Linked DNA regions of Macaca fascicularis. The protein of the gene in region 1 purifies or fractionates together with the protein of each later gene. This does not show direct contact. Links are inferred from orthologs where the notes say so. Each region holds a gene or a part of one and is shown in the gene's direction. Other genes may lie near its edges.

Evidence for each region.
Region 2: the proteins of ASF1A (region 1) and TONSL purify together in Homo sapiens (affinity purification with mass spectrometry; 4 studies listed by BioGRID and IntAct, counting the BioPlex papers as one, with this or other methods). This does not show direct contact. The link is inferred for Macaca fascicularis from reciprocal best matches to the Homo sapiens genes ASF1A and TONSL.
Region 3: the proteins of ASF1A (region 1) and UBN1 purify together in Homo sapiens (affinity purification with mass spectrometry; 6 studies listed by BioGRID and IntAct, counting the BioPlex papers as one, with this or other methods). This does not show direct contact. The link is inferred for Macaca fascicularis from reciprocal best matches to the Homo sapiens genes ASF1A and UBN1.
Region 4: the proteins of ASF1A (region 1) and UBN2 purify together in Homo sapiens (affinity purification with mass spectrometry; 3 studies listed by BioGRID and IntAct, counting the BioPlex papers as one, with this or other methods). This does not show direct contact. The link is inferred for Macaca fascicularis from reciprocal best matches to the Homo sapiens genes ASF1A and UBN2.
Region 5: the proteins of ASF1A (region 1) and CHAF1A purify together in Homo sapiens (affinity purification with western blotting; 3 studies listed by BioGRID and IntAct, with this or other methods). This does not show direct contact. The link is inferred for Macaca fascicularis from reciprocal best matches to the Homo sapiens genes ASF1A and CHAF1A.
Region 6: the proteins of ASF1A (region 1) and NASP purify together in Homo sapiens (affinity purification with mass spectrometry; 6 studies listed by BioGRID and IntAct, counting the BioPlex papers as one, with this or other methods). This does not show direct contact. The link is inferred for Macaca fascicularis from reciprocal best matches to the Homo sapiens genes ASF1A and NASP.
Region 7: the proteins of ASF1A (region 1) and IPO4 purify together in Homo sapiens (affinity purification with mass spectrometry; 4 studies listed by BioGRID and IntAct, counting the BioPlex papers as one, with this or other methods). This does not show direct contact. The link is inferred for Macaca fascicularis from reciprocal best matches to the Homo sapiens genes ASF1A and IPO4.

Annotation. Positions count from the first base shown.
Region 1 is NC_088378.1:22,830,634-22,834,329, forward strand, and holds part of ASF1A (histone chaperone ASF1A), read left to right. Parts: intron 1-460; coding exon 461-576; intron 577-3,696. UniProt on the Homo sapiens protein: Histone chaperone that facilitates histone deposition and histone exchange and removal during nucleosome assembly and disassembly.
Region 2 is NC_088382.1:154,152,231-154,156,661, reverse strand, and holds the start of TONSL (tonsoku-like protein), read left to right. Parts: upstream 1-1,561; 5' UTR 1,562-1,619; coding exon 1,620-1,644; intron 1,645-1,758; coding exon 1,759-1,854; intron 1,855-1,960; coding exon of another isoform or gene 1,961-2,024; coding exon 2,025-2,167; intron 2,168-2,736; coding exon 2,737-2,920; intron 2,921-3,246; coding exon 3,247-3,376; intron 3,377-3,660; coding exon 3,661-3,832; intron 3,833-3,921; coding exon 3,922-4,036; intron 4,037-4,431. UniProt on the Homo sapiens protein: Component of the MMS22L-TONSL complex, a complex that promotes homologous recombination-mediated repair of double-strand breaks (DSBs) at stalled or collapsed replication forks.
Region 3 is NC_088394.1:5,674,103-5,677,798, forward strand, and holds part of UBN1 (ubinuclein-1), read left to right. Parts: intron 1-601; coding exon 602-705; intron 706-1,400; coding exon 1,401-1,839; intron 1,840-3,696. UniProt on the Homo sapiens protein: Acts as a novel regulator of senescence. Involved in the formation of senescence-associated heterochromatin foci (SAHF), which represses expression of proliferation-promoting genes. Binds to proliferation-promoting genes.
Region 4 is NC_088377.1:180,910,583-180,914,758, forward strand, and holds the start of UBN2 (ubinuclein-2), read left to right. Parts: upstream 1-1,315; 5' UTR 1,316-1,612; coding exon 1,613-2,080; intron 2,081-2,263; exon of another isoform or gene 2,264-2,587; intron 2,588-4,176.
Region 5 is NC_088393.1:5,141,767-5,146,062, forward strand, and holds the start of CHAF1A (chromatin assembly factor 1 subunit A), read left to right. Parts: upstream 1-1,461; 5' UTR 1,462-1,602; coding exon 1,603-1,654; intron 1,655-4,296. UniProt on the Homo sapiens protein: Acts as a component of the histone chaperone complex chromatin assembly factor 1 (CAF-1), which assembles histone octamers onto DNA during replication and repair.
Region 6 is NC_088375.1:189,135,980-189,140,439, reverse strand, and holds the start of NASP (nuclear autoantigenic sperm protein), read left to right. Parts: upstream 1-1,647; 5' UTR 1,648-1,749; coding exon of another isoform or gene 1,750-1,808; intron 1,809-4,460. UniProt on the Homo sapiens protein: Component of the histone chaperone network. Binds and stabilizes histone H3-H4 not bound to chromatin to maintain a soluble reservoir and modulate degradation by chaperone-mediated autophagy.
Region 7 is NC_088381.1:92,003,067-92,007,282, reverse strand, and holds the start of IPO4 (importin-4), read left to right. Parts: upstream 1-1,368; 5' UTR 1,369-1,397; coding exon 1,398-1,466; intron 1,467-1,547; coding exon 1,548-1,634; intron 1,635-1,762; coding exon 1,763-1,842; intron 1,843-1,928; coding exon 1,929-1,970; intron 1,971-2,387; coding exon 2,388-2,517; intron 2,518-2,604; coding exon 2,605-2,784; intron 2,785-3,032; coding exon 3,033-3,098; intron 3,099-3,199; coding exon 3,200-3,301; intron 3,302-3,387; coding exon 3,388-3,471; intron 3,472-3,726; coding exon 3,727-3,891; intron 3,892-3,995; coding exon 3,996-4,049; intron 4,050-4,206; coding exon 4,207-4,216. Other genes in the region: TM9SF1 (transmembrane 9 superfamily member 1), read left to right, coding at 377-770. UniProt on the Homo sapiens protein: Nuclear transport receptor that mediates nuclear import of proteins, such as histones, RPS3A, TNP2 and VDR. Serves as receptor for nuclear localization signals (NLS) in cargo substrates.

The DNA of each region.
Region 1 (3,696 bases):
CTCTGCAACATAGTATAGGGCTGCCCTTCCAAAGTGTGTTGAGGAGGACATTAAAAGATGACATACAAAAAAAGGGGGATTCCATAGCCAAATAAATTTGGGAAATGCTGGATTAATGTTACTGGTATTCTTTACTGAAGGATGTCTCAGAAAATTTACTATGCCAGTGTGCTTTATGAATCCTCAAGGTTTACAGCATTTCCCAAGTGTTTGGCTATGTTATCTTGTTTGTGAGGCACTGTCTAGGAACTAGTGTTTCACAAAAGAATATTTTGAGAAACTCTGATATAAAGTATGAACTCTGGTAAGAACTTTATAAAGAGCATTTCACTGCCTTTCTGGATTGCCATGAGAAGCCTAACAGCCAGTAAGTGGCTAAGTGGACATTAAAAGGGTCTTTGATGTCATCTGGTAATGTAATTACTGAATATGAAGTAATGCTTTGGTTTTTTAACCCTAGACTTGGAATGGAAAATTATCTATGTGGGCTCTGCAGAAAGTGAAGAATACGATCAAGTTTTAGACTCTGTTTTAGTGGGCCCTGTTCCTGCAGGAAGGCATATGTTTGTATTTCAGGTAAGATTAATCTTGGTAAATGTGTATGCCACATATGTTTTGAAGTAGACTATATTATCTATTATAACTGTTATCCCTTTCCTTTTGGGTTCAATAACTCTGTTTCTGCTGCATTCACTTTTAATCTGTTTCCATCTTGTTTTAGGCAGTCTCTGTGTCACAAAGGAACTCTTACTTCCTGGTTTTATATGCTGAGAGATGTTAATGTGATGTTTATTTTAGGGAGATGCACAGCCTGCAGTAAACTTTATACTGTATCATGGCACACAGGGTGGTGAATTTTGGGCTCTTCCTGTGAATAGCATCTAAGTATCAGACTTCCAACGTGGCTGTCTAGCATCCCAAAACATGGATTCAAAATATCTAAAACTAACTGGCATTGTCAGTAATATGCATCTTCAGTTTATGGTTTTAGCCACTATAACTGATGATGTAACAAAAACAACTTTATTTCAGCATAATCAGTAGTTAAGCTAGGTTAACAGATATGTTTAGTGGATAGAGATGTGTGGTCTTGGATCATTGGAATGACATTCCAGAGTTTACTAAAGCATCTAATAATCTACATTATCTTATAGAGGACTACTTTTGCAAATTTACTACCCCACTAGGTATTTGTGAGGAGAAGTTCTAGTCATAAAAATTATGTTCTTAGATACCACTGAGAGTATTTGGATCTATACCAAGGCTTCAGACATTGTCTTCTATATTCAAAAGTGTTATTTCTTTTAATCCATGTTAAATTGCTATATGAAACCATTCAATTATTCCTCAATTATGCATGCTTCTTTATAAGGGAGATATTTGTAATAGACCAAAGAGTAACTAGCCATAGGTTTTTAAAACTACTATTAATTTCTGTTACAAGTATTTCAACCCAACAAAGTCCCATCAGTTAAGTGGAACTCACTGAAAAGACTTAATCCAGAAAGAAAATCTAACTCTTCCTATGCCTGACCTCTGTTTTCTCACTTCACAGATGGGACCAATTTAAATGAATACTGTTGGTCAAATAATCCTATCAGAAACTGGCAAAGAATCACTTAGACACATGCTATCTCTAGAGCTGCTACCTTTCCCTCCCCTGTCCTAAATACAGAATTTAGAATCTTGGTTTCCTAGCCATAGTACTTTTGATTAAAAAGCAACAAATAATTTACTGTATCTAAAGAAATAGCTAAGAAAAGCTCAAATATACTAATTAAATATATGAATTAAAAGTGCTGTTAATCAAAGTTGTGTGAGTGCATAACCCTGTAAAAGACATGGGTAACACAATGCCCTGCAGGAGGAAGCACTGCAGTTACAGATACAGGTCAAATGCTGACACCTCTGCTTATTGCTGTGTGACTTTACCTGCCTAACCTCCTCCCTTAGTCACTCCAGTCTTCTATAAAATATGGATAATATTCTATCTCATTAAAATGTTATGGGGAATAAAACAGTACACTCAACTCACTCATAAATAGTGCCCTATTCCTATAATTAGAATTACATTTTTATTCTCTTAACTTCTTGAAATTGTTATATAAAAAAGCAGGACTTGCTTTGACCCACAGGCCTGGGGAACCCATACTTTACTGATAATTCATGATACAGTAAAAGAAACCTGGGTTGACATGTACTGATATACCTTTGGTTTTTTGTTTTTTTGTTTTTTTTTTTTTTTGCTACTATAAGAACTTACAAATAAATGCCTTGTTATTGAAACAAACCCTGAAAATCTTTTGTGTTTGTTATTAAGCATACTCCTAAGCTTTTGGCTGAAAGTGCTATAGGAAAAAAATGTATTCAAAAGCATTTCCTGCCAGTGATCTTCACGTAGTTTTACCTTGGTGTCAGTGTACATGTTGCAAAAAAGAACAGAGGAGGCACAATGTATATTCAGCCTGAAGGTTTTGCAAAATTCACCATTATCAACAGAAAGAGACTAAATTACAGCTTTTGTTTTGGGTTTTAAAACTGCTATAGTAATCTCCTGGTCTGCCACAATTTTGCCTCTCTAAATGGTTAAACATGTCTTTCTTTGAATGAGTCAAAGGCTACCAGGAAGATGTCCAGACATCTGCCTAGTATTGCTAGCTACAGTCAAAACAAAGATCTCTGCTCATCACTTCTGCATCCTAAATTATTTGAAAGGCTTGCAAGTTTCTCTACTCAAATTTGCTCAAAATGAATCCTTTTCAAATTGTAAAATGCTTTTAAAAAAATGTTTTATATTTACCACAGATTTTAAAACAGAAACATGCCTAGAACCAATTCACTGAAGGGAAGCAATATGGGGGAAGAGTTCTCATAGCAGTACTGAACTATTATGTATTTCCCATCTCCACCCACTTCCAGGTATATTAGAATCCGTTTGGGTACACTGGAAGTAATCTAACCCCTCTGTGCAGGGGTGTGTAGAATCTCTAAGACAAACAGCATATTCTCCAGGACAAGGCTGGCTGTCCCTATCCTGGTGTCTCGCCAAAGAGATCATAAACCCCTTTGGGGCAGGAACTGAGTTACCGATGAATTCCAAAATAATAAGTGCTCAGAGCTGAGCCACACATGAGATTATAAAGATGAACTGGATGGGACTCCTGCCCTGGATAAAGCGTAGCATCTAGAAGAGAAGACTGAAAAATAAACATGTTTAGATCACAGGGCATACATTCTTAAAGAATTTGTGACAAGAAATATCAGCACATAAAAAAGGAATCTATTGATTCTACCTTCTGAGTTAGAAAGGGCATCACTGAGAATACACTCAATGTAAGCTCCAAAAAATATTAAAAGTTGAATTTTTCAGGATGTGAGAAAAGGACCTTTCAGGCCAAGGGAACAGTATGTTAGAAGCACAGGGGGTGAAATACTTCTTTTTTAAATTTGTTTTTGTAGAGATGGGGTTTCGCCATGTTGCCCAGGATAATCTCAAACTCCTGGGCTCAAGTGATCCGCCCACCTTAGCCTCCCAAAGTGCTAGGATTACAGGCATGAGCCACTGTGCTCGGACAGTGTGAAAGATTTATCACCAAGTTTTAAAGAACCTGTGTAATTCATATCTCTAGAACAAGGGTGGAGTTAAAGGAGGTATGAATGGAGATGTTGGTTGGAGACAAACTGAGAAGGGCCTTA
Region 2 (4,431 bases), on another chromosome or scaffold:
TGCTGTGTAGCCGGGAGTCAGAGACCCAAGGCATGGCAGGCATTTGGTCCTCAAGGTCATGGGGGACAGCGAGGGTATTTTAGAGGCCTGGGTGCCCCATATCATAGAACTCTAGACATAATTTTGCAGTCGTTTTCTCTCTCTCTTCCTTTTTTTTGAGATGGAGTCTTACTCTGCCGCCCAGGGTGGAGTGCAGTGGTGCGATCTCGGCTCACTGCAAGCTCCGCCTCCCAGGTTCACACCATTCTCCTGCCTCAGCCTCCCGAGTGGCTGGGACTACAGGCACCCGCCACCATGCCCGGCTAATTTTTTGTATTTTTTGTAGAGACAGGGTTTCACCGTGTTAGCCACGATGGTCTCGATCTTCTGACCTCGTGATCCGCCCGCCTTGGCCTCCCAAAGTGTTGGGATTACAGGCGTGAGCCCAGGAAGAGTGCGCCTGGCCCTCTCTTCCTCTTTCTTTTCCTCCCTCCCTCCTTTCTTTTTTTTAAATAAAAATGGGGTATCAGGCCGGACGTGCTGGCTTATGCCTATAATACCAGCACTTTGGGAGGCCGAGGTAGGCGGATCACGAGGTCAGGAGTTTGAAACCAGCCTGGCCAGCATGGTGAAACCCCGTTTCTACTAAAAATGCAAAAATTAGCCGGGCATGCTGGCACATGCCTGTAGTCCCAGCTACTTGGAAGGCTGAGGCAGGAGAATCGCTTGAACTCAGGAGGAGGAGGTTGTGGTGAGCTGATATCGCACCATTGCACGCCAGCCTGGGCGACACAGCGAGACTCACACACAAACACGCACACACACAAAAAGATGGGGGTCTCACTATGTTGCCCAGGCTGGTCTCGAACTGCTAGGCTCAAGCGATCCTCCTGACTGCACCTCCCAAGGCGCCTGGATTACAGTGCGGGCCAGTGCGCCCGGGCTACTTCTGCAGCTTAAGCGCAGGTTCACTGACTCTTCCGAGAATACAGCTGACATATACGTTGCTGAAACGGTACTTGTTTACTACGGAAAGCACATTCCCCTACCAGAACATTCCTTGGGGCCGAGTCCCCAAATGTGACCCACTGCGTTCTGTGGAGGAGGAGCGCACCTTATTCCGTCCCCACAGCCAAATGCTCGTGAACTTATCGTCAGTCTTCTATCTGGACCCTACGTGCGTTTTTCACAGTTGCGCGTGTGAGCAGGTTGTGTGTGAATTTCAGGAGGAACTGGGGCGGCGGCACAGCTCGTCCACCTTGAGAGGCGCGGGCGGCACGCGGGCTGCAGTTCAGAAGAGCCCACCCAGGGCGCGCTGCGACCCCGGCCTCCCGTGTCCCCGCCTCCTGCGAGGAGGAACGGGGTCCCCATCAGGCACTCCCCGGGCAGGGCAGAGGGCTCCACGCGCGGGCCAACCTCGGCGTCCGGGAAGATAACTCCTCGGGTCGACGCCCTAGTTGTCGCCGCGTCCCCGCCCCAGCTCCTCCCACACTAGAACTTCGAGGATGTCGCGGGCGGACCGTACTTCCCAGCATGCCCCGCGCCCACCGCCGCCGTCGAGGGGCGGGGCCTGCGTGTCGGCGGCGAGGGGCGGGGCCGCGGCGCAGCGCGGGAAGTCCAGATCCCGCGGCGACCCGAGCATGAGCCTGGATCGCGAGCTTCGCCGTGAGTCCCTCGGGGGCCCCTTGCGCCGGGGGCACGGAGGCTAGGGAGGGTCTGGGACTCGGCCCCGGCCCCGAATCCCGCCGCGGAGGCTCAGCTCTCCTCTTCCTCCGACAGAGCTGAGCAAGGCGAAGGCCAAGGCGCAGAGGGCCGGGCAGCGGCGCGAGGAGGCAGCGCTGTGCCACCAGCTGGGGGAGCTCCTGGCCGGCCATGGTGAGCGCTGGGACCAGGAAGCGGGGTGCACGGCCGGGGGCTGGGGGCTGGGGGCTGGGGCCCGCGCCGGGGTCGGGGGCCGGGGGTCGACGGGCTCTTCCCGCAGACGCCGCCCCAGGTCCGCCCTCGCACCCGCGACGCCTGCCAGGCCGTGCTGTGTCCCCGCCTAGGCCGCTACGCCGAAGCCCTGGAGCAGCACTGGCAGGAGCTGCGGCTCCGGGAGAGCGCTGACGACCCCCTGGGCTGTGCCGTGGCCCACCGCAAGATCGGAGAGCGCCTGGCCGAGATGGAGGACTACCCGACTGCCTTGCAGGTGCGGGCGCCCTCACTGGCCTCGCCCAGCCCGGTCGGCCTCTGTTTGGAGCCCTTTTCTGAGGAGGGAGGCCCGGTCTTCACCGTCAGGAGCCTCGGGCTGGAAGGGACACCTGGCCTGACGCAGCCTTAACTTCACCGCGCCGGCCCAGTCCTCCAGTGGGGACCCCCCAGCCTTTCCTGGGACTGGGGCAGGAGTAGGTTTCCTGGCACCAGAAACCATTAATGAATGTTATTTTAGCTGTGTTTGTGTTGGGGGTGGTCAGGCCCCAGCCCGAAAGCTCTCCCTGACCCTGGCTGCTGGAGGCAGGACTGCAAACCCCCACCCCACCAATCCCCAGCCGCCCCTCCCCACGTGACAGCGTTGGCTGCATACAGCGTGAAGCCACTGTCACCACAGAGAGGCCTTGGCATGCAGAGGAGGGGCATGTGGCCGACCTTGGCCTGCTCTGTGGGGGTTAAGGGGAGCAGGAGTCTTTCCTTAGCAAGAACAGGGTCTCTGGGAATCTGGCAGCGCTGGTTTGCTTGAGGCGGGGTCAGCTCACAGCAGTGACTTCCTTCCACACTCAGCACCAGCACCACTACCTGGAGCTAGCACATTCCCTGCGCAACCACACGGAGCTGCAGAGGGCCTGGGCCACCATCGGCCGCACCCACCTGGACATCTATGACCACTGCCAGTCGAGGGATGCTCTGCTGCAGGCACAGGCTGCCTTTGAGAAGAGCTTGGCTATTGTGGATGAGGAGCTGGAGGGTGGGCAGGCCCCTTCTCGTTTTCTGCCTCCTGAACTGCAGGCTGAAGAGGCTGCAGCCCAGCACCCCCGCAGCCTCCTTGGGCGATCTCGTCTTCTGGGGCCCTCCCTTTGCAGGGCTCTTGTGTGAGGGGTGCATGCCCTCCGCAACCTTTTCCCTGGAGATCCTCGGCTCTTTATCCACTCTGTGCTCTGTCTGCAGCAGGACCCTTGCCCCAACATCGGGAGGAGGGAGAGGGTAGGAGAGGCACTGCACAGGCCCCAAATGGGGCCCAAAGCTGGAAACCCCATGTGGGGAGAAAGTGGCTGAGTGGGGGGCATCTTCCAGGGACACTGGCTCAGGGAGAGCTGAATGAGATGAGGACCCGCCTCTACCTCAACCTGGGTCTTACCTTTGAGAGCCTGCAGCAGACAGCCCTGTGCAACGATTACTTCAGGAAGAGCATCTTCCTTGCGGAGTAAGGCCCCACCCCACCCCAGGAGAGAGTGGAGTCCCTTGTTCCTGGAGGAAGTAGTTAGGGGAGTATTTCTCCCAGGGTCCTCCTGAGAGAGCACCCTGGCTGGGCCTCATCCCCCACCTCTCACACCTGTGCCTCACACTGGGCGAAGACCAGGCATGGTTAGGGCCCTGAGACCATAGCATGGCAGGGCTGGGGCCTGTGTGGCATCAGCAGCTATCACCGGTGGGACGCTCCTGGGTGCTCAGGAGCTCGTAGGTGCTCAGGCCATCACCCCTCTGCAGGCAGAACCACCTTTACGAGGACCTGTTCCGCGCCCGCTACAACCTGGGCACCGTCCACTGGCGCGCGGGCCAGCACTCCCAGGCTATGCGCTGCTTGGAGGGTGCCCGGGAGTGTGCGCACACCATGAGGAAGCGGTTCATGGAGAGCGAGTGCTGCGTGGCCATCGCACAGGTACCCGCTGTGTGTGGTTCCGAGCTCAGGCTCCTGGAGACTTGGGCCTTGGGGATTTTGCAAAAACCGTGCTGTCCTTTGCTCTCCAGGTCCTCCAAGACCTGGGAGACTTTCTGGCTGCCAAGCGAGCCCTGAAGAAGGCCTACAGGCTGGGCTCCCAGAAGCCTGTGCAGAGAGCAGCCGTCTGTCAGAACCTCCAGCATGGTGAGCCTGGGGCTGAGGTGGGGCCCCGGGGGTGTGGGGTGGGGGGGGGGTGAGGGGGGTGAACCTCCCGCATGGTGAGCCTGGGGCCGGGGTGGGGCCCCGGGAGTTGTGTGCAGGGGCGAGCCCAGGGGGGCGTGGAGTCCTGCCAGGTGTGTACGGAGCTCCCTCCCTCACAGAGGAGGCATGAGCACCTGTCCTTGGAGGCAGCAGCTTCCGCAAGAGGGACAGGTGCCCTAGTTCCTGACAGGAGAAAACCCCCGTTTTTCTCTGAGCTCAACACAGTGTGTCAGGGGCACTGAAAGGGCGGCCAGGAGACCAGTTGGGCTTTTATTTTGCAGCCACCATCTTCACTGGCAAACTGGAGACAGTAGTTGCTCCCCTAGCTTCCCGGGTGG
Region 3 (3,696 bases), on another chromosome or scaffold:
GACGGTGGAAAGGCAGAGCCGTGCCAGGTCGATGGTTCACCTCATACACATGTGCCCTGATGAGGACACGTGCCTGTGGGGGCTCTGTGCAGCACTTGGTCATCGTGTCCACCTCACATAACATCCCAGCAGGCTCAGCAGGGATCGTTTCTGGAGGTGGCCTAAGGGTGGGAAGGGTGTGGAGTGAGGGATGTGTACCACCCTTGCTGACCCTCTTCTGTGGACGTGTAGAGGACTTCAGTTCCCAGGGCTGCCACCCCACTGAAAACCAGTCAGCCTTAGGATCAGTGTGTTTAAAAACCTGTCTACCACTGCCTATGTGTTTAAAACAAGAGGTAGGGCCCACTTGTAACTTTCAAACTAGAAAGGTTTCAGGCTCCAGAATGGTCACTTTTGTCTCAGCCCTGGGTGTTTCCAGGAGACACCGTCGGTGGGAATGCTGTGGGTTTGTGGTCCAGGGACCAATCTGAGAGCTTTTGTTCATGAAGGAAATGAGACAGGTCTCAGGATGTGCCCTGGGCGGAGCAAGGCCAGTGCCGTGTAGTGCACTTGCTCCCTGAGTTAGGGAGCCGTGTAACTGTGCCTTGTCTTTAATTCTCAGAAGCGGAAGTTGAAGGAAGGTGGTGAGAAGATAAAGAAGAAGAAAAAAGATGACACTTATGACAAGGAGAAGAAATCGAAAAAGTCCAAGTTTTCCAAAGCCGGGTGAGAGGCAGCAGCTTCTTTGCTAGGATAAAGCCTGAACTGTTAGGGCAGGACGACTGGGAGCTGACTCACCTCCTCCCCACAGCTTCGGAAGAGGCAGCAGGGCCTAGCCTTCCTGTCCTCCTGCACGCCTCCCGCAGTGCCATTCTGGGCATACACGCTCACCTCTCTGTGTGTCAGATAGTTCCACTGTCAGTGTTGGCAGCTATTCTTGTCACTGTGTGACTGCTGATGTTTCTCGTTCTCCGGGACGCTCCTCTCTGCCCCAGTTCTCCTTCTGTCTCTGCTGTTTTCCCTTGTCGTCTGTGGTCCTGCTTCCTTCTCCTCACTTGGTCTCACCCCAGCTGCTCTTCAAGTTGCTGCTGTTCTCTGCTGCTCCTGCTTTCTCCCTGTAAATACTTTTCTTGCTCTCCCTGCCCCTTTTTGCAACCTTTTATTTCAGCCTGGCAGTGGTTTCTAAAAACCCGTCGGAAATTTAGCATATGTGACACTGTGTTGCTAACCTGTATTAACTCTCAAGCTTTGGTCTCAGCAAGAACGAGCTCCATATGCCAAGAGGAGGGAGGAGGAATGACAGGGTGGACTGTGACAGGTTCTCCTGGAGACCATGGCCCTGGGAGCAGGGGTGAAGGCCTCTGGAGTTCCCTTTGGCAGTGTCCTGTAGTCTGAGTGACCAGTTTCCCTCTTGCTTGCAGCTTCACAGCCCTCAATGCCAGTAAGGAGAAGAAGAAGAAGAAATATTCTGGGGCTTTAAGCGTTAAAGAGATGCTAAAGAAATTTCAGAAGGAGAAAGAGGCTCAGAAAAAAAGGGAGGAGGAGCATAAGCCTGTTGCGGTCCCATCAGCGGAAGCTCAGGGCCTGCGAGAACTGGAGGGTGCCTCTGACCCCTTGCTCTCACTCTTTGGCTCCACTTCTGACAACGACTTCCTCCAGGCGGCCACTGCCATGGACTCGCTGACGGATTTGGACTTGGAGCATCTGCTCAGTGAGTCTCCAGAAGGAAGCCCCTTCCGTGATATGGATGATGGAAGTGATTCCCTTGGGGTGGGATTGGACCAGGAATTCAGGCAGCCCTCTTCTCTCCCCGAAGGCCTGCCAGCACCCCTGGAGAAGCGCGTTAAGGAGCTGGCTCAGGTATGGTGACACAGTGCGGCTGGGCTTTCCTGGAAGCAGTTTGGGCAGATTGCCGTTGGTTCTGCACTGCGTGAAGCTCGCCCAGAGAAACCTTAGTGAGTTGGCAGTTAAGGTGTCAGCTTTTTCCAAACTGTCTTCTCATTCTGAGGGAGAAAACAGTGCAAGCCTTGCCCGTCAGGCATCATTTTAGGCCATTCTTCATTTCTTCATTTCTGGAAAGTTTGCTTTCTTCTGGGGAGATGGTTGTCTTTCTGTTTTCTGTCAGATTATTCTGTTTTCTGTCAGTTTTCCACTCGGCATCTTTTCTTTCATGTGATAGATGGATGATGTTGGCAACAGGCAGCTGAGGCAGAGATTCATCTTAGAATTCTTCCGAAGGTTTTGCAAATTCACAAAAGTTTGCAAACATATGAATTGCACATAGAGTATATGCTTCGTTGCCACTAGGTTTCAGTTGCTCCTTTGCATTGTGTATCTAGAGTTAGGTAGTGATTACGGGAATGCTTCCAATGTGATGAATGAAAAGTAACTTAATTTTAATTGCCGTCCATGCCCCGTTAAAACCCACCATTGGCGGGGCACGGTGGCTCACACCTGTAATCCCAGCACTTTGGGAGGCCGAGGCAGGTGGATCACCTGAGGTCAGGAGTTCGAGACCAGCCTGGCCAACATGGTGAAACCCTCTTTCTACTAAAAATACAAAAATTTAGCTGGGCAGGGTGGTGCATACCATAATCCTAGCTACTTGAAAGGCTGAGGCAGGAGAATCACTTGAATCCAGGAGGCGGAGGTTGTGGTGAGTGGAGATGGCGCCAGTGCACTCCAGCCTGGGCCACAGAGCGAGACTCTGTTAAAAAACAAACCAACCACCATCACCACCTTTAGGATATAGCAGCTCTTGCTGTTTTCCTCCAGTGACTGGGAATTGATCCCTAAGCTCTGAGAATTGTCTGTTCAAGTAACATATTTCTTAACTGTAAACCTGGCATGGATCATTAGTTGTAATATCATTTACCTTTAAGTTAAAATAACATTTTATCTTAAGCATCAGGACTTGTGATGCAGCTCTGGTGGCACTCATAATCTACAGCTGTAGGTTTTAAACCAGCAGTTCTTACAGTATTTTAGAAGCATTGTTATGTATAGTATCCTTTGTGTTTTAGGGCAGGGTAAATTGTCAGCCACTGCTAAAATGATTTTCTCACTTCCAAAAACTATTTGAACGCCGTATATAAAGCAAATAAAGTATCTGTTCCAATCTCTATCTCATCTTTGTCAGCTTGTGTTCAGCATTGGAAATTCAAGTATTGTATTTGAATGTAATGATTTAAATGAATTGTGCCATGTTGGGGTTTGGAGTATCCCTTAAGTATGACCTTGAGGTGGAAGTAGCTGAATCTGAACTTGGTGTGTTTGAGCCTACTGTCCTATATTTGCTTTCAGAATTCATGTTAAACAAACATTATATCTTGCTCTTTTTAATCCTCTGGTTTGTAATCAAATTGTTTCATAGTCTCTGAAAGTCTTGTTAAATCATTTAAGGTCTATGTGATGATAGCTGCTCATTAGAGAAAAGTCAAAACCAAATTCTTGGCTGTGTCTCCACTCATGCCATAGGTTGTGTTCTAGTGTGAAGACTTGCTGTTTCACTTTCTTGGGAAAGATAGGGACAGATTTAGTGTCAACAAAATGATACAACCGGAAAAAGCATGGGGCTCTGGTGCAAGAAAGCGGAACTGAGTAAACACCTTGTTAGGCAACCTGCCCTGCCTCAGTGATTGCCAAGTGTCGGTTAGCTCTTGGGCATAACAAACACATGGTTCAGGATCCCATAGTCAAGGTGGGCCTGGGGCCCGG
Region 4 (4,176 bases), on another chromosome or scaffold:
ACACACCTGTACTAGGATTTGGCCCACAGACCATCAGTTTGCAGTCTCTGAGCTAAACTGTGGAGGATATTGAATATGAGTATACATTCATAGAACTTAGTTTGTAGGTAAGTTGCAGCCAGAGCAGAGAATGATATAATAAAAACTCTTTTAGAGATATTAATATGACCCCGTCTCAAGACTGGCGGGGATAGAGACTGAAGGCAGGTCATTTAAGTATCACAAAGACAATCTAAAAATGAGACCCGAATTCGTAATCAGAAAAGGAGCAATGGGGAAGGAGATAACGGAGGTAAAACATGGTGCCGAGGAGAAAAGATAGGGTTTTAGAGTTGGGAGAGATCTTTGGAATCATAGATTTCATCACCATCTTCGTCCAAGTAGGGAAAGTAATAGGAGAGGAAAAAATAGTACCCTCTCAGAATTTGTCTATGACGTCACAGACTTAATAAAAGAGCTTTCAACAGTTAATCCAGTTAATGCAATTAACAGAAGGCTTGGATGTGAAGGGCGACCCCTCAAATTTACTTTTTATTCAATGGATTAAAATGGCCAGTAATTCTCATCCTTTCAGACCTTCCAATTAATTAATTACAAGTGAGCCTATGGGGCGTGCCCAATCAATTCCTTCCCCAACCTGAAATGGGTCCTTTAGCATTATTTTAAACAGTACGTTTCCTGAAATACCACCAAACCCTCTTAAGAAGTTTTCTGTGATTTCAACAGTTTAGGCCTTCTGAATGAGCCCAGAACTCTTCACCTGCTTGTTAATTTTCCAACTGCAAAGCGTTATTGAACATTTAATGACCCTGCCCCACGCAACGCCCACTGCGGCCGGGCGAGGGAAACCAGAGTAGGTCGAGGAAGGGGAGGCCTGCGCTTTCGGGAGGGAAGCCGCTGGGGCTAGTCGGGCTGAAGGTGGGCACTTCCTTTTTTCCCTCGATACTTAAGGCTACGGGGACACAGGCCTGGCAGGCACGACGGCCGGCGCGTCTGTCTACCTTTGCCCAGAGTCCGCCTTGAATAATCAGCTAACAACCCCAGTTCCCTTGAACCCAGCGCGGGAGACCCGGCGCCATGGCTAGGTCGGTCTCAGGCACATCCCGATGCTCGCCCCGGGAAGCTCCCGGAGCGCCTCTGGTTTCCGGGTACGAATAGGAAGCTGCTCGGGAAACCCCAGAACCCTCCCTTTGAGAAAGGGTGCAGACGGCGTCTCCGTTTCCACGGAAACAGGCCGAGCCATGTCGTCACTTCCGCCGACCTGTCTGGACGCCAGACTGTTGGGAGGAAAAGAGGAAAACTGAGCAACAGCCACGACAGTGGACGCGAGCGTCTCCTCTGTGCGCATGCGCCCGCTCAGCGGCCTGCTTCTATTTATGTGGGGGATCCAACATGGCGGCCGCGGCGACCCTGGCGATGGCGGTGAAGCCCATCAGAACGTAGTAGCGGGGAAGGGGACGCGGTCCGCACTCACCGTGGCGTCGGCGGAGACTGCTGAGGGTGGTGGAGGGAAGAAAAGCGACGGAGAGCAAGAGGAAGGGCGGGCAGGCACGCAGCGCGGCGTAGAAGCGAGCGCCGGCTCGAGCTAAAGCAGAGGGCCAGAACAGTGGGGATGGCGGAGCCGCGCAGAGTAGCGTTCATTAGCTTGTCACCGGTGCGGCGGCGCGAGGCCGAGTACCCGGGGCCCGAGCGCGAGCCCGAGTACCCCCGCGAACCCCCCCGGCTGGAGCCGCAGCCGTACCGCGAGCCGGCCCGGGCGGAGCCGCCGGCCCCGCGGGAGCCTGCCCCCCGCTCGGACGCGCAGCCCCCGCCGCGGGAGAAGCCGCTCCCCCAGCGCGAGGTCAGCCGCGCCGAGCCGCCCATGTCGCTGCAGCGGGAGCCCCCGCGGCCCGAGCCACCGCCGCCGCTCCCGCAGCTGCCCTTGCAGCCGCCCCCGCCGCGGGAGTCGGCTTCCCGGGCTGAGCAGCCGCCGCGGCCGCCGAGGGAGACGGTGCGCCTGGAGCTGGTGCTCAAGGACCCCACCGACGAGAGCTGCGTGGAGTTCAGTTACCCGGAGCTGCTGCTGTGCGGAGAACAACGGGTACAGAAGATTCCTCCCTCCTGCCCCAGACCCCGAGAGCCTCAGGACCCGCCGTCTTCCCCAGCTGGTTTGCACCTTGGGACGCCCACCGAGCGCGTCCGGGTCGCCCCGAGGGTGGGGTGCGGGGGGCCGGGGCCGAGCGGGTGGACGGGGCGGTGAGCGCTGCTTCCTCCACTCCCTGGGGTGGCCGAGGCTCTCACCCGGCCGCACCGAATCCCCAAACCCCCGGCGCTCGCTCCCAACGCCGCGCCGAGCCTGTTTTCTTGTGCACTTTTCGGAACCTCAGATTTTCCTTCTTTCCTTTCTGCACCCCACACAAAATCCTGGGGCCCTGCAGGCCGTGTGGCTGGGTTCTCCCTGTGGCGCTACAGCTGTCGTTCCAGTAGAAAGGAAGAGAAAACCTTGGGGGACACGCCCCCCAGTCTGAAGCAGAGAGATTGTGTAACCCCTCTCGTATCATCCTCATCCTCATCACTATTTGTTTTGCTGGGCGCCGTGGCTGCTGAGGTGTGCTTGCGTGCCTGTGATATTTTTCTTAATCGAAGGGAATTTAAGAATAATCAAAGGTTTTCAGAGACTAAGGATCCCACTTTAGGAATGGAGAAGTGGGTTAGTTAATCTGGTTACTAATTTTTCTCTCGTGTTGGTATTGGAAAACCTTTTTAGCTTTCCTTTTTTGTGGAGTTTGTTCATATTGTAATTGAATGGGAAGGTGTCTCCTGTTTTATTTGACACCTACCCGTCATATTATTTAAATGTATTATCATTAGTTTATAGAAGAACATTGTACTCGGCCTTTGTAATTTTCGGAGGATGATGAGAAAAATCTCAGCTTTGAATTTTTTAAAACAATTGAAAATATATAGGTATGCTTTTGATGTAAGAGGTGAACAATGGAGAAAGGATAGGGCTTATGTTGGTAATTGTAATTTTTATTGTTGTGGGTTGGTGGATCTTCAGAAGTTAGAAAAGGAAATGATAGATTAACAGTAAAGAAAGAGAACAGTTTTTCTCTGTTGCTTAGCAATTATGCCCGTTATTAGGCTTTGCTTTAGCTTGGGTCTAATGGACTCCAGAAGTCACTTGTTTTTTCATCTTCAACTACCTTTATGGTCAAAATGACTGACTGCTTAGTCACAAAGTATCATGTTGAACAGTTTCACTAGATTTTTGTTTACTTTATGGCCAGCTAATGTTTTGATCATTATTTAGAAATGTTGTGTGGTCCAATCATTACAAAATGTTTTAAACCAAAATGAATTGCTTAAAGGTAGAGATCACTTTAGTCACTTCCACATAACATTTTGCTCTTTAGACTCACTTGAGTGCCCCCTCTTTATAAATGTGATGTCACTTTTTTCCCAAAAGAATATTAAAAATATTGGATTGGAGCATTTTCCAAACACTGTATTTGAGCTGCTAATCTAAGTTGGTTTGCAGTTTTTGTAATTTTCATAAATTGCAGGAGAGAAGCATTCTCTTTGTGTAAAAAATACATAGCAATAACTACCTTTACTGAGTTCTTACTGTGTGCTAGACACGGTTCTAAGCACTGCACGTGGTTTTTCTAGTAGTCCTACAGAACTCCATGGGGTAAAATCTATTATCCTCACTTTACAAACGTATGTAATTTTATTAGTACTTCTTTCCATAGTGATATAATTTCTTAGTAAAACAAAATTTCTTAATATTAACTCATATAGTTTAGAGGATTCTGCCAAAATGACGTAAAATGTAAGTCACGGTAGAACTACAAAGACCTTTATTATGTCCCTATTTATGCTGTAATAGTCACACGATGGCAAATTAATAATAGATGTGTATCATTTAATTATAAAAAAGTTTGACACCCTAGCTTTGTTAACTTGGTAACACCAGAACTACTACTTTCGTGTAATGGGAGAAAGAGGAATAATTCCATTTAATTTTTCTGTTTACTTATTAACAATGTAGGTGTCTATTGGCCCAATTTTCTCATTGTATATCAACCTTCTATCTTTTTTCATATACCTCTGAACAAAACAAAATCCATTGTATATAATCACCTTTGCAACAAAGATTTGCCACATTTTCCTGTGATTGCTGCCAGTGAATAC
Region 5 (4,296 bases), on another chromosome or scaffold:
TAGCTCAGACAGGGAAAATGAAATATTTAGCAATGATATGACTTGCCCAAAGTTGTGTCCCCAAATTTTCTATTTCTCCACACTTTTCCCAACAAACACTACTGGCTTAATTATCCAATCTACTTCAATAGAATTTCAAACTTGGGCTAAAGTCCAATCTTCTCTGCTCACCTCTCCTTCTGAGATTAAATTGGTGTGGAAGAAAACCTGTTTCCGCTGGGTGCGGTGGCTCACGCCTGTAATCCCAACACTTTAGAAAGAAAAAGGAAAGGAAAAAAGGAAAGAAAGAAGAAAGAAAAAAGGAAAGAAAGAAGAAAGAAAAAAGAAAAGAAAGGAAAGAAAAAAAAGAAAGAAAAAAGAAAGAAAAGAAATAAAAAGGAAAGAAAGAAGAAAGAAAAAAAGGAAGAAAGGGAAAGAAAGAAGGAAAGAAAGAAAAGAAAGAAAGAAAAAAAGAAAGAAAGAAAAGCAAGCAAGCAAGCAAGCAAGCCAGCCAGTCAGCCTGTTTCTAGACTCACAAGCTGACACTGAAGTTCTCTGTTTTGTGTGAGGCTTTGAATCTGTTTGATCTACACAGTTCAATCAAATATTTATATATTCACTCAAATATTTATTGACCTGGTAAATATGATCAGTTACTAACAGGTTCTGGGGTTCCAGTGAGGAATGAGTCCTACCTCGTCAGAACTAATGACAAAAGCAGAAATTAATTCATTCGTCAAATAACAAACTAATACAAAGACACAGCTGTAATTGCTTTAAGAAAAAGAACAGTGCTGTAGGCACTTGATCTTGTCAGGGTTGGGGAAGATGGGGAAGAAAAGGCTTCCTGGGGTGCCGATATAAGATCTGAAAAGTATAAATTATCCAGGAAAAGAGCTGCGAAAAGATTGTTCTAGGCAGAGAAATACACATGTGCCAATTTCCCGAGGATTAAACCAGAAACCATTTCGTCCATTTCGTTCATTCTACAGGTTATTTACTGAATGTCAAATACGTCTGAAGCGCTCCCCAGACTTCGTTTTATTGTTCTTGTAGAAAGCAATTTATAATTTTAATTGCTGTTGCTATATTTAGCCGATGTCCCATTAGGATAAACTCAAAACTCCAGGTTCCTCATCTAAATCCCACTTTGAAGTTGTCATCTGCGCCCTGCGTAAAACGTTCTCCTGGTGACGTAAGAGCCTGGGCCTCCCTCCTCTTAGGGACTATCCCACGCGATCAGCCAGTCACAGCCCAGGACAATCAGCTTGACACCTTCTTTCCCCAATCGCAGGGCAGCTCCTCCCAGCCAATGACAGGCCTCCGAGGGGAAGCCCCGTCCCCCGCGGAAATATCAATGGGCGAGCCCTGGGAGGAATAGAAGTCACGGCTCTCGCGAGGATGCCCCCGGCGCTCCTCAATTCCCGAGGCGGGCCGTCACGTGACCCGGGCTCGCCCAATTAGCGCGCGGACCACTGGGGTAGTCGCGGTTCCCGCCAAATACGAGCGCGGCGGCCGCGGCGGCAGCAGCTGCGGCGCGGGCGGGAGGGCGAAGAGCAGCGGCCGCCTGAGGGGAGCCCGCGCCTCCGCCGCCTGAGAGGAGCTCGAGCCGCTGCCGGGGTGATGCTGGAGGAGCCGGAGTGCGGGGCGCCCGGCGCCAGGGGAGCCACCGCAGGTCGGTTCGGGCTCGCGCCGAGGGGAAGGGGGGGCGCGGCGCGCGGCCTGGACGGGCCGAGGCGGCGATGGGAGGCGGACGGGCCTCCCGGCGCCGAGCCTGGTCCTGTGGGCCGGGCGTTCACCCCCTGGAGTTTTCTCATCCCCAGCGAAGGCCTGGCGTCCCCAGGGGCACCCTCCTTGACGTTATTGTTGTAGCCGCGACCATATTGTTTCCGGCGCTTTTGGGTCAGTTCGTCCCTCCAGGGCCCTCTGGGGCGACGGGTCGGAGGAGCCGAGAGGGGAAACTGAGGCCCAGGGAAACGAAAGGGCTTGCCCTGAAGGTTACTGGGTGCGTTTGTGTCCCTTGACCATGTTGGATCTTGCAACGGGTGGGGAAACTGAGGCCCGAGCTCACACGAGCTCGGGGACCGGGACCGATGCCTCTGCGGGTCGGGGCAAGCCCGGGTAAGAGACCCGGATGGTGGGGATGGCCAGGAGGCTGGGACTCCCAAGTTCTTGCTACTGCCTGATAAGCACCGTGACTTTCTCCTCCCTGTGCCTTGGAACGGGGTCTTTGGATCCCACAACAAGCCTTCCCGAAACGTGGGAGGGTGAACCAAGGAAGACCAGACTGCTCCTCTCCCTTGCTGGACTCTGCATTACATAACGCTTTGGCAGCGCTTGGCATTACGCTTTGGCACATAGTAGGTGCTCACTAAATAATGTGAACGAATGAAGGGCTAGAATGGACACCAGTCCAGTTTCTCAATCTCAGCAGTGTTGATATTTGTTGCTGTCCTGGGCACGGCACTGCAGGGTGCTGAGCATCATCCCTGGTCTCCGCCTTTTGCAGGCCAGTAACAGCCCCTCTCCCCAACTCTTAGTAACAACCAAAAATACCATTGCCCTGTGTTCCCTATGCAGCAGATTCCTCCTTGGTTGAAAATCGTGGCTGTAGTTCCTTCTACCCTTTGGGATTTCACGGAGACATGAAATTAATATAAAGTTGGTACTGTCCTGGAGCTGTGATGTTTTAAGTCAGGATGTTTAACTTTATTTTATTTTATTTTATTTATTTTGAGACAGTCTTGCTCTGTTGCCCAGGCTGGAGTGCAGTGGCAGGATCTCAGCTCACTGCAACCTCTGCCTCCCCGGTTCAAGTGATTCTTCTGCCTCAGCCTCCTGAGTAGCTGGGATTACAGGCTTGCACCACCATGCCTGGCTATTTTTTTATTTTTCAGTAGAGACGGGGTTTCACCACGTTGGGCAGACTGGTCTCGAACTCCTGACCTCAAGTGATCCACCCGCCTCGGCCTCCCAAAGTGCTGGGATTACCGGTGTGAACCACCATGCCTGGCCAGGATATTTAATTCAAAAAAAAAAAAAATTGCTACTCGCTAGGACCATACTATCATGAAAGGAAAGTATATTTTAGTGCCAAATAAAATTAGGATGTAATCGCAGAATAAAGAGCAGTTAGTAACTTTATACACACATATGTGTTAATTGTGTGTATCTTTGGATCCCTGGATTGGGAGTGTCCGTTTTATATACAGGATTTTTTAATGAGGGGGGTCCTGTTTTTAGTGAGGTTGTTTCTGTTCCACTTGCATCAAAGCTAGTGACTCAAAACCACACAAATAGATCTTTGTGATTGTCCTGAAAATAAAGTTAAGTGACTAAAAAGCATATCCTTCAGCTGGGTGTAGAAATCCATGTCTTTTGGTAACTGGAAACTTGAGAATGATATTCTCTGAAGTGACTAGAAAGGAAACGAATTTTCTCAGTACCTTTACTTATTCGCTAAGCTTGGGGCAGAGGGTGGGGTGGTTTCATGTATGGATGATGAAGTTTTTTAGGAAGCTCCAGTCTGCTTTTAAAAAATACTCATATAACGCTTATAAAACATACGTAGACTAACCAAAATAACTAGGTTTTTCCAAGCCAGATGTCCTGGTAAGTGTGAACTTCCTAAACTTACTCTGTTTAAGGTATTTATCTAAAGACTCGGTGCTATTTATGGTCACTTCGGCATCTGCTTTGATATTATTAGATGCTTTTCTTGAGATTTTTTTTGCAGGAAAATGTTCTGTCTTATCATCTCTTGATAGCACTTCAGCTCCTGCCTGGCATGCTCCAGGTGCTTTAAATTGTGGTACCTTCATGAATTCTCTTTAAAAAGGAAAGGATCCCTTTTCTAATTTTACAAATTTGGTGGTGGTGTGGGGGCTTGGGTTGGAGGAGGATGTTTGGGGATCATGTGAATGAAATAGGTAATCCGATGTTTTCTCTCATCCCTACTTTTACTCATTCCACTTTCATTTCATGAAACAGTTCCTGTTTCTCTCTTAGCTGGCTTTCTGATGTATTCCAGACCCTAACCAGGTACCATAGGTGCAGCATGGAACAAATCTTTCTGCTATCATAGAGTTGGCATTTTGTTTAGGGAGAGACATAATAAACACGAAAGTTTCAGATTAAATGCCACAAAGAAAATAAAACAAGACATGACAGTGTCTAGGGTAGGATTTCTCGAACTATTAACATTTTGAGGCCAGGAGCTGTGGCCAGCAGTTTGGGAGGCCGAGGCGGGCAGATCACAAGGTCAGGAGTTCGAGACCATTCTGGCTAACATGGTGAAACCCCGTCTCTGCTACAAAT
Region 6 (4,460 bases), on another chromosome or scaffold:
AGAGCCGTAACAGATTGGAATAAGAATCCTCTCCAGGAATCTCTCCCAATATGCTGGAACCTAAAAGGAAATAAAAACCCCTACTCTGATCAGCGTAGACTGGGCCATGGTGAAAAGGAATGGATGATGTTCCAGGTGTGAGGAAGTGCAGCTTTTTAGCCTGCCAGTTATTTTTCAGTCAGCCAGTTGCAGGAAATGAGGCACACTGCTTTCCATAACTGACTTGTCTTGCAACTTTCTGAACAAGTCACACCTCCTTGACCTGTTTTTTTTTTTTTTTTTTTTCTGAGATGGAGTCTCGCTCTGTTGCCCAGGCTGGAGTGCAGTGGCAAGATCTTGGCTCCCTGCAACATCTGCCTCCCGGGTTCAAGTGATTCTCCTGCCTTAGCCTCCTGAGTAGCTAGGATTACAGGCGCCTGCCACCACGCCTGGCTAATTTTCGTATTTTTAGTAGAGACGGGGTTTCACCATGTTGGCCAGGCTGGAACTTTGGCCTATTTATTTTATTTATTTATTATTTATTTATTTTTGAGACAGAGTCTTGCTCTGTTGCCCAGGTTGGAGTGCAGTGGCCAGCTCTCGGCTCACTGCAACTTCTGCCTCCCGGGTTCAAATATTCTCTTGCCTCACGGAGTAGCTGGGATTATAGGCGCCCGCCACCACGCCCGGCTACTTTTTGTATTTTTTAGTAGAGACGGGGTTTCACCATCTTGGCCAGGCTGGTCTTGAACTCTTGACCTCGTGATCCATCAGCCTAGGCCTCTCAAAGTGCTGGGATTACAGGCGTGAGCCACCGCGCCTGGCCCCTTTGCTTATTTTTCTAAGAAACAGACTAACACCGATCTCACTAGTAGCATTGTTAAGATTAAACAAGATAGCTAATAGCTTTAAAGGGTCTAATCACAGTACCCCTACATGTAGTAGTCACTCAGCAAATCATAGCCAGGAGTGGACGAAAAGCGCTGGGAGCATTAAACCAGCCAGATTTGGAGTCTGGGTAGGGCCTAAGACGATGGCATCAGCGGATTGGGCCAGCCAAAGGGGGCGGGTTCAGAGGGAGGAGCCAGCCGCCTTCCGCTGCAGCCCCGAGCTTTGAATCAAGCGCGGTAGTTTCAGCTGTAGCCAATCCTAGAACAAAATCTTCTTGCGTCAGTTGTTGCTGAGGCCCAGATCTCACCCAGATCAGTTCTAGTCGCTGCTGCTAGTACCCGTCCTCGGCTCTTGCGTGTCCGTCCGTTACGACTCAGAGGACGGAGAGAAAGTCTAAGTCACCTTCCTCAGTATCCAGGCCGGAAGGAGACTCTCGGCTACTCGCCCTAAACATGGAGAGCAGCACTGGCTTCCCTGTCTCTGGATGCCGCAGGGGCGTCCTGTCAGGAGTTGTAGTGGCAAGATTCCAGTTCTTATGCGACTTGGTGGAGAAGCAGGAAGTTGCTGTTTATCGGACAAGGCGGGCTAGGGAGGGAAACAACGCCGCGGAGCCATATGGAGAGGGCAGGAGGTGTCCTTAGATAATGGTAGGCCTGCGGCGGACGGTGGGGCGGTGTTGAGTCCTGGCCCTTTAAACCCGAGGGGGAGGACCCGGAAGTGGATGGGCGGGGCGAAGGGCCTTAGTATATAAGAGGGCCCCAGCCGCGCGGGGTCTCTAATCTGCCATTTTCTGTCCCTGAGTGAGTTTCTGGCGTCCCAAATTGCCTGTTTTTCTCACAGGCTCTATTCCGTTCGCTGGTTCGCCACCTCAGGGGAACGATGGCCACTGAGTCCACAGCTACTGCCGCCGTCGCCGCGGAGCTGGTTTCTGCCAACAAGTAAGCGGGACTGGAAAGCTTGAGGCACTGGCCAGTCCGCGGGGAGGGCAAATGGACGGGGGCTCCGGAGAAGGGACAGACCGGTGGGCGGGCGTACTTGCCTTCCCGGGAGCAGCTGTCGCTGTTCGGGAAGGCCCGGTCACTGGAGCAGTCCTCCTCTGGCTTGAGAGCCTCGCGCACCAGCGGTAACGGCGGTCGGCTGGCGCCCCCTGCCCCGCTTTTTGCGGCCGCCATCTTGCCGGGGGCAGCGGCGGCTGTATCCATCGCCTGCCCCTCTTCTTCCTCCCCCGGCCCGGGGCGGTTGGCCGGGAGGCGGGGCCCTGGCGCACGAGTTGGCCTTCACTCCCCTTCTGTCCCCAGCGTGTGCCTCGGGTAGAGTCCCTGGATAACCCAGGAATATAACCAACGGAGATTTGGCGCCAAAAGAAAAAAAAAAACCCCTGCACGAGGAAGGAGGCTGGACCTGAGGGGTCGGGGTGGGCGGGGCCTTGCTGAGGGCGGGGTTTTGCGCGCGAGCGTTCGCTTCCCTTGCCGGCTCTGGAGCAGGGGGCGGGGCCTTGAGGAGGCGGGAAAACTCTATTGTTTGGGGCCGCTGCGGCTCCAGCGGGAGCATTTGGACTATTCTGTGGGACCGGTGAGGCTAGTTCCGCCCCTCACGCCTCGCTCACGTCTTGTGCTGGGAGATAGTTATCGCTCCCCTCGACTCCATGAGCCCCTGCCTGTGGTGGGGAGGATTGTAGTTCTTTAGACTTCGGAGGTGTTGCCTTGTTCGGGGGAACATTATCCGGACGCAAAGCGTCTTCAGGAAGCGCCGTCTGGAGCTCTCACCAGCACTGTTTGGTTGCTAGGTGAATCGGCAGTAGTGTGCACGAAGTGGAGAAGGGCTGGAGGGAAACAAGATAGGATTGCTTTGAAAGCAGCACAATGCCACTCAGGCGTAATCTATTTTTTGAACAGTGGAGGGAAACACTACATGACTTCAAGGAAACAAGTGCTGTTTCCCATACAGTAGGTCTGATTTCCCAATCTTGCCTTATTTTTTTAGTGATCTGGTTCTGTTTTTTTTCTTTTTCTAATCTTGTGCGCTTTAGAGGTTAGCTGCCTTCCCTGTGAACGGAATGGTTGCTGTGAAGTTTTTTAAATTGATATTCTATAGGCTTACACTCTGTCATGATTATGTCTTAGTTTGCTTATAGTTAGAGATTTACTTACATCTTTGCTTACCACCTTTTGTTTTCTCTGCATTCTTGTAGAGCAGTGGTTCTCAAGTCACCCTGACAATCATCTGGGAACTCATGGGAAATATAATTTTAATTTCAAACTCCCATTACCTGCCTCTTTCCCCATTGATTCGATATGAGCAGTATAGATTGGGCTTGAGAGTCGTACTATAGCTGTTATAAAAAGAGCTCCTTTTTATAATGTTTCCTGGATAGCTCTGGCAGTCAGTATTTCACTGACAGGTGTGTGTTTTTGTTTTGTTTTTGCAGACAGGGTCTGGCTCTCACATCCAGGCTAGAGTGCAGTGTTGTGGTCATAGCTCACTGCAACCTCGAACTCCTGGGCTGAAGTGATCCTCCCTAGTAGCTTGGGACTACAGTCGCCACGCCTGGCTAAGTTTTTGTCTTGATGTTGCCCAGGCTGGTCTCAGACTCTTGGGCTCAAGCAATCCTCCCGCCTTGGTCTCCCAAGGTGTTGGGGTTACAGGTGTGAGCCACTGCGCAGGACCAGGTGTGTGTATGTGTTTTTTTATTTTTATTTTTATTTTTTTGAGATAAAAGTATGCAACAAATCTCTCTTGCAGGTCCCCTGTGTCTTGCCAGAGTTAGGTCATTAGTGAACTTAGTCTCAGCTTCCTGGCAGGTTATACGTACAGAAAGTTTATATGTGGCTACAAGAAAGCAAACCATTTAAGTAGTTCCTCACACCATAAATTGAAAGCTAAAACTGAGCAATTATATGTGGGGGGGGGGGTGTGTGTGTGTGTGTGTGTGTGTGTGTGTGTGTGTGTGTGTGTGTGTGTTAGGGGGCAGGGTCTCTGTCACCCAGGCTGGAGTGCAGTGATGCCATCATCGCCCACTGCACCCTCTACCTCCTGGGCTCAAGTGATTTTCCCCCTCCTGAGTAGCTGGGATTACAGGCGCACACCACAAGACCCAGCTGATTCTAGTATTTATTTTATAGAGACGGGTTTCACCATGTTGCCCAAGCTGGTCTCCCAACTCCTAGGCTTAAGGGATCCACCCACCTGGGCCTCTGAAAGTGCTGAGGTTACCGGCGTGAGCCACCAACCCTGGCTGGTATTTTCATTTCATTCCCTCGTTTCCCCATCTAATTAGTGTGAGAGAACAATGAAAGCATGTGCCTCAGTTAAGTAAGTTAGTGGGGACATTTAGAAGTAAAGTTTATAAGGTCCTCATGTTTAAGGGTAGGTTAAAGAAAATGACTTGAATTTAGACTTTAGGTAAGAATGTACATTATACTTCGAGGATAAACATTGAAAGAATAAATATAACTTCCGAACCAGTAGAAAGGAAAAAAAATGGAAGGAGAAATAAACCTCAGTTCAGGTTTTTTAAATTTAGGAAATGGGGATCTTACTGTGTTGCCCAGGCTGGATTCCCAACTCCTAGTCTCAAGCAATCCTTCCAC
Region 7 (4,216 bases), on another chromosome or scaffold:
AAGGGCCTCCAGAGACATCTCCCCCTTCACCTTCCTGGTTTCTGACTTTAGTGTCTGTGGACATCATGTGGGGTTTAAAGCCCATTTGATGATCCATTTACTTTGTTGAATACCTCTTTGTGCCAGGCAAAGAATGAAGTGGAAAGTAAAATGGATAAGATCCCTGCCCTCAATCTATTAGGGAAGATATTCTTGAAGTGAGAGCAGCTAATCATAGGCAAAAAATCCCCATGAAGCCAGGAGATCTGGGGCAGAGAGTGGAGTGAACTCACTTTTCACAATGACCCAGCAACATGGGAGAGGGTGGGGGGCTGGATTTCAGCCCAGCCACTGTGCACAGCCCTTTAATGCTGTGTATCATCTCTTTTCTTCACAGTGCCATCTCTGTAGAGCTGTACTACATCTTTGCCACAGTATGGGGTCGGGAGCAGTACACTTTGTACGGCATCCTCTTCTTTGTCTTCGCCATCCTGCTGAGTGTGGGGGCTTGCATCTCCATTGCACTCACCTACTTCCAGTTGTCTGGGGAGGATTACCGCTGGTGGTGGCGATCTGTGCTGAGTGTTGGCTCCACTGGCCTCTTCATCTTTCTCTACTCAGTTTTCTATTATGCCCGGCGCTCCAACATGTCTGGGGCAGTACAGACAGTAGAGTTCTTTGGCTACTCCTTACTCACTGGTTATGTCTTCTTCCTCATGCTGGGCACCATCTCCTTTTTTTCTTCCCTAAAGTTCATCCGGTATATCTATGTTAACCTCAAGATGGACTGAGTTCTGTGTGGCAGAAGTATTGCTGTTCTCTCCCTTTCTTCATGCCTCCTTGAGCTCTCCTACCAGCTTCTCTTCTGATTGACTGAATTGTGTGATGGCATTGTTGCCTTCCCCTTTGCCCTTTGGGCCTTCCTTCCCCAGAGAGGGCCTGGAAATTATAAATCTCTATTACATAAGGAGTATATATTTGAAATTTTTAAGTTGCCTTTAGTTTTGGTCCTGATTTTTCTTTTTACAATTATCAAAATAAAATTTGTTAAGAAAAAGGATCATGTAGTTGGAGGTTTTGGTCTGGATATAGGAACTCCAGCCCCGCGGTTAAGGGCACGGTCCTTTAGAAAGCCGAGCTGGCCACTGAATGCCCGAAGCTTGAGTTCTCCAACCCAACTTGGGAACTCCCGGCGTGGGGAACCTACATTGCCAGAGCTGGGTTTCCGCGACTCAGCCGGTGCTCAGCATAACGGAAGTGGAGGAGTCGGACCTCTTTGTGGGAAGTGAATTGAATCACCTTGGCAACCCTCGGGGCGTGTGGCAACGCCCTTTCCGCCGGAAGTGGGTGTCAGCGCCTCCACGTGCTGTCCCTCCCCCTCCCCTTTTCGGCCCAGTAGCGGCGGCTCAGCTGCTGCCATGGAGCCCGCCGGCCTGGAGCAGCTCCTACGGGAGCTGCTGCTGCCGGACACCGAGCGCATCCGTCGGGTACGGGAGTAGGCATAACCGGGCCAGGGCGAGCGGGAGGTTGCGGGAAAGACCCGACTCTCACCCCTAGCTTCCCCCCAGGCCACGGAACAGCTCCAGATCGCTCTTCGGGCCCCCGCCGCTTTGCCGGCTCTCTGCGACCTGCTGGCCTCGGCGGCCGACCCCCAGGTGAGACCCCTGACTCTCCCCTCCGAGCTTCCCACTGTACGCCACTGGTCAAGCCCCAATATCCGCCCCCTGCGGTCCGCTCAGCACCCTCCTGCCCGGACCCCCACGTGCTTGTTTCCTCGTCCTAGATCCGCCAGTTTGCGGCGGTGCTGACCCGCAGACGACTGAACACCCGCTGGCGACGGCTGGCGGCGGAGCAACGGGAGAGGTGGGTTGGGCCTGGGTTGGGGCGGGGCCAGGCGGAGACTTTTCTTGGGCAGTCTGTGTACCAAACACCTGCCCACTGTGTTCCAGCCTCAAGTCCCTGATCCTGACGGCCCTGCAGAGAGAAACAGAGTAAGTACCTACCCCCTTTTCTCGGGATCCTGACGACCTTGTCGGGGTTTCTGCCTTCCCTTTCAGTTCCAGGCTGGGACTTGTGGGGCAGGGACTTCAGTTCTAGACCCAAGGTGGAGCGAAAATTTTAAGGCTGTTTTGAAGACTGAAGTTCTTGAGGAAGGGTGACTATGATCTGCCAAACTCAAGTCAGAAGAATAAGACTGAAATTCAGGCTAGTAAGACTGAACTTACCAGATTACATGCCCGCAGTGCTGCTGGGCTCCCTCTGAGCTGCTGTCTCATGTGTCCCAACTTGGTAAAGACCCTGTGCCCACACCTCCTGAAAGTTTCTCTCCTGGCTGCCCCATTGTGCCTGGCCACTGTGTGCAGAGGAAGGTATTGGAGAGTGATAGAGGAGATCTCTCCTGTTTGCAGGCACTGTGTGAGCCTCAGCCTGGCCCAGCTTTCAGCCACCATTTTTCGAAAGGAAGGCCTGGAGGCCTGGCCACAGCTTTTGCAGCTTCTTCAGCACAGTACCCACAGCCCCCACAGCCCAGAGAGAGAGGTACCATCACATGGTTGGCAGGAGGGAGGGACTAAGAGGTGGGATAGACCATGTAAGCTTGCTCTCCAATCCTCTATTCTTGGACAGATGGGGCTTTTGCTGCTAAGTGTGGTGGTGACCTCCCGGCCCGAGGCCTTCCAACCCCACCACCGGGAGCTGCTTCGGCTTCTGAATGAGACTCTTGGTGAGGTGGGCTCTCCTGGGCTGCTCTTCTACTCCCTGCGCACTCTGACCACCATGGCCCCCTACCTCAGCACTGAAGACGTGGTGAGATGTGGGCCCTCGTATCTTTGACTCCCTTTCCTCAGGCCTTCATGTCCTCATCTGTAAAAGTTACAAAACTGCTTTGGATTCTTTACCTGCCTGTGGCCCTTCCTGACAATTGAGAGGGGATGCTGTAGGTGGGCCTGGCTATTATGTCTGGGCTCCTCCTCGCAATTCAGGCTATGAGGAAGCTGTCAGCTGCTGGGGTGTGAGATTAGGCTGCATCATGCTGTCTGTGATGTGTCCCTCAGCCTCTCTCTCGGATGTTGGTGCCCAAGCTGATCGTGGCTGTGCAGACTCTGATCCCCATAGATGAGGTGAGGACAGGTGGGCAGGAGCTCTGTTGGAAGAAGAGTGCAAAAGTGACCAGCTTGGCCCACTGAAGAAGAGCATGGTAACCTTGTGCCTTGTTTGTCAGGCAAAGGCCTGTGAGGCCCTTGAGGTTTTGGATGAACTGTTGGAGTCAGAGGTGCCCATCATCACCCCCTACCTCTCTGAGGTCCTCACATTCTGCCTGGAGGTGAGCCTGGAGTGGACATGGCCCCTGCTACATGCTCTGTTGGGACTTTCCTTCCCTGTCTCTGATTCTTATTATTCTCTGGACAGGTGGCTAGAAATGTGGCCCTGGGCAATGCAATACGCGTACGTGTTCTCTGCTGCCTCACTTTCTTGGTCAAAGTCAAGAGCAAGGTGAGTGAGTGCCCATTGACACACATCACCCCACCCACTCTCTACCCTTAGTCTCACTCCTGGGACTTTCAGTTCATCTCAGGGTATCTAAAGTACTGTGGGGGTTCAAGCCTTGGCCTAGCCTCACCCCAGCTCCTGCCTGGGAGATTGGGAATTTTCTGTCGGACCTTTTATGGCCTGGAAGACTGGAATTTTTAATGTGAGCCCATCCTGGGAGCAGATTCTTAGGGACACTGTTCCACCTTCTCTGTCAAGGCCTTACTGAAGAATCGTCTCCTGCCACCCTTGCTACACACCCTTTTCCCCATTATGGCTGCTGAGCCCCTGCCAGGCCAGTTGGATCCTGAGGACCAGGATTCAGAAGAGGAAGAGTTGGAAATTGAGCTGATGGGGGAGACTCCCAAGCATTTTGCTGTACAGGTGAGATGTGGGGCAGGACAGAGGGGGAAGGTGTTAGGTGGCTGTGGGAGGTTGGGGAGGCAGAGATGGAGTCGAGCAAAGTAAGTCTCCCCATCCTATCTTAGGTTGTGGACATGCTGGCGCTACACCTGCCCCCCGACAAGCTGTGTCCCCAGCTGGTAAGTGTGGCTCTGTCCTTCTGGTGTCCCTACCTCCAAGTGTGCCTAGTCCCCTGAGGCCAAGGACGTTTAGACCCTGGGAGGTGTGAAGGTCTATTTCCACAGGAATGGGCAGGCTCTTTCTGGGGTTTCAGAAGCGTGCCACATGCTTCCCTAGATGCCCATGC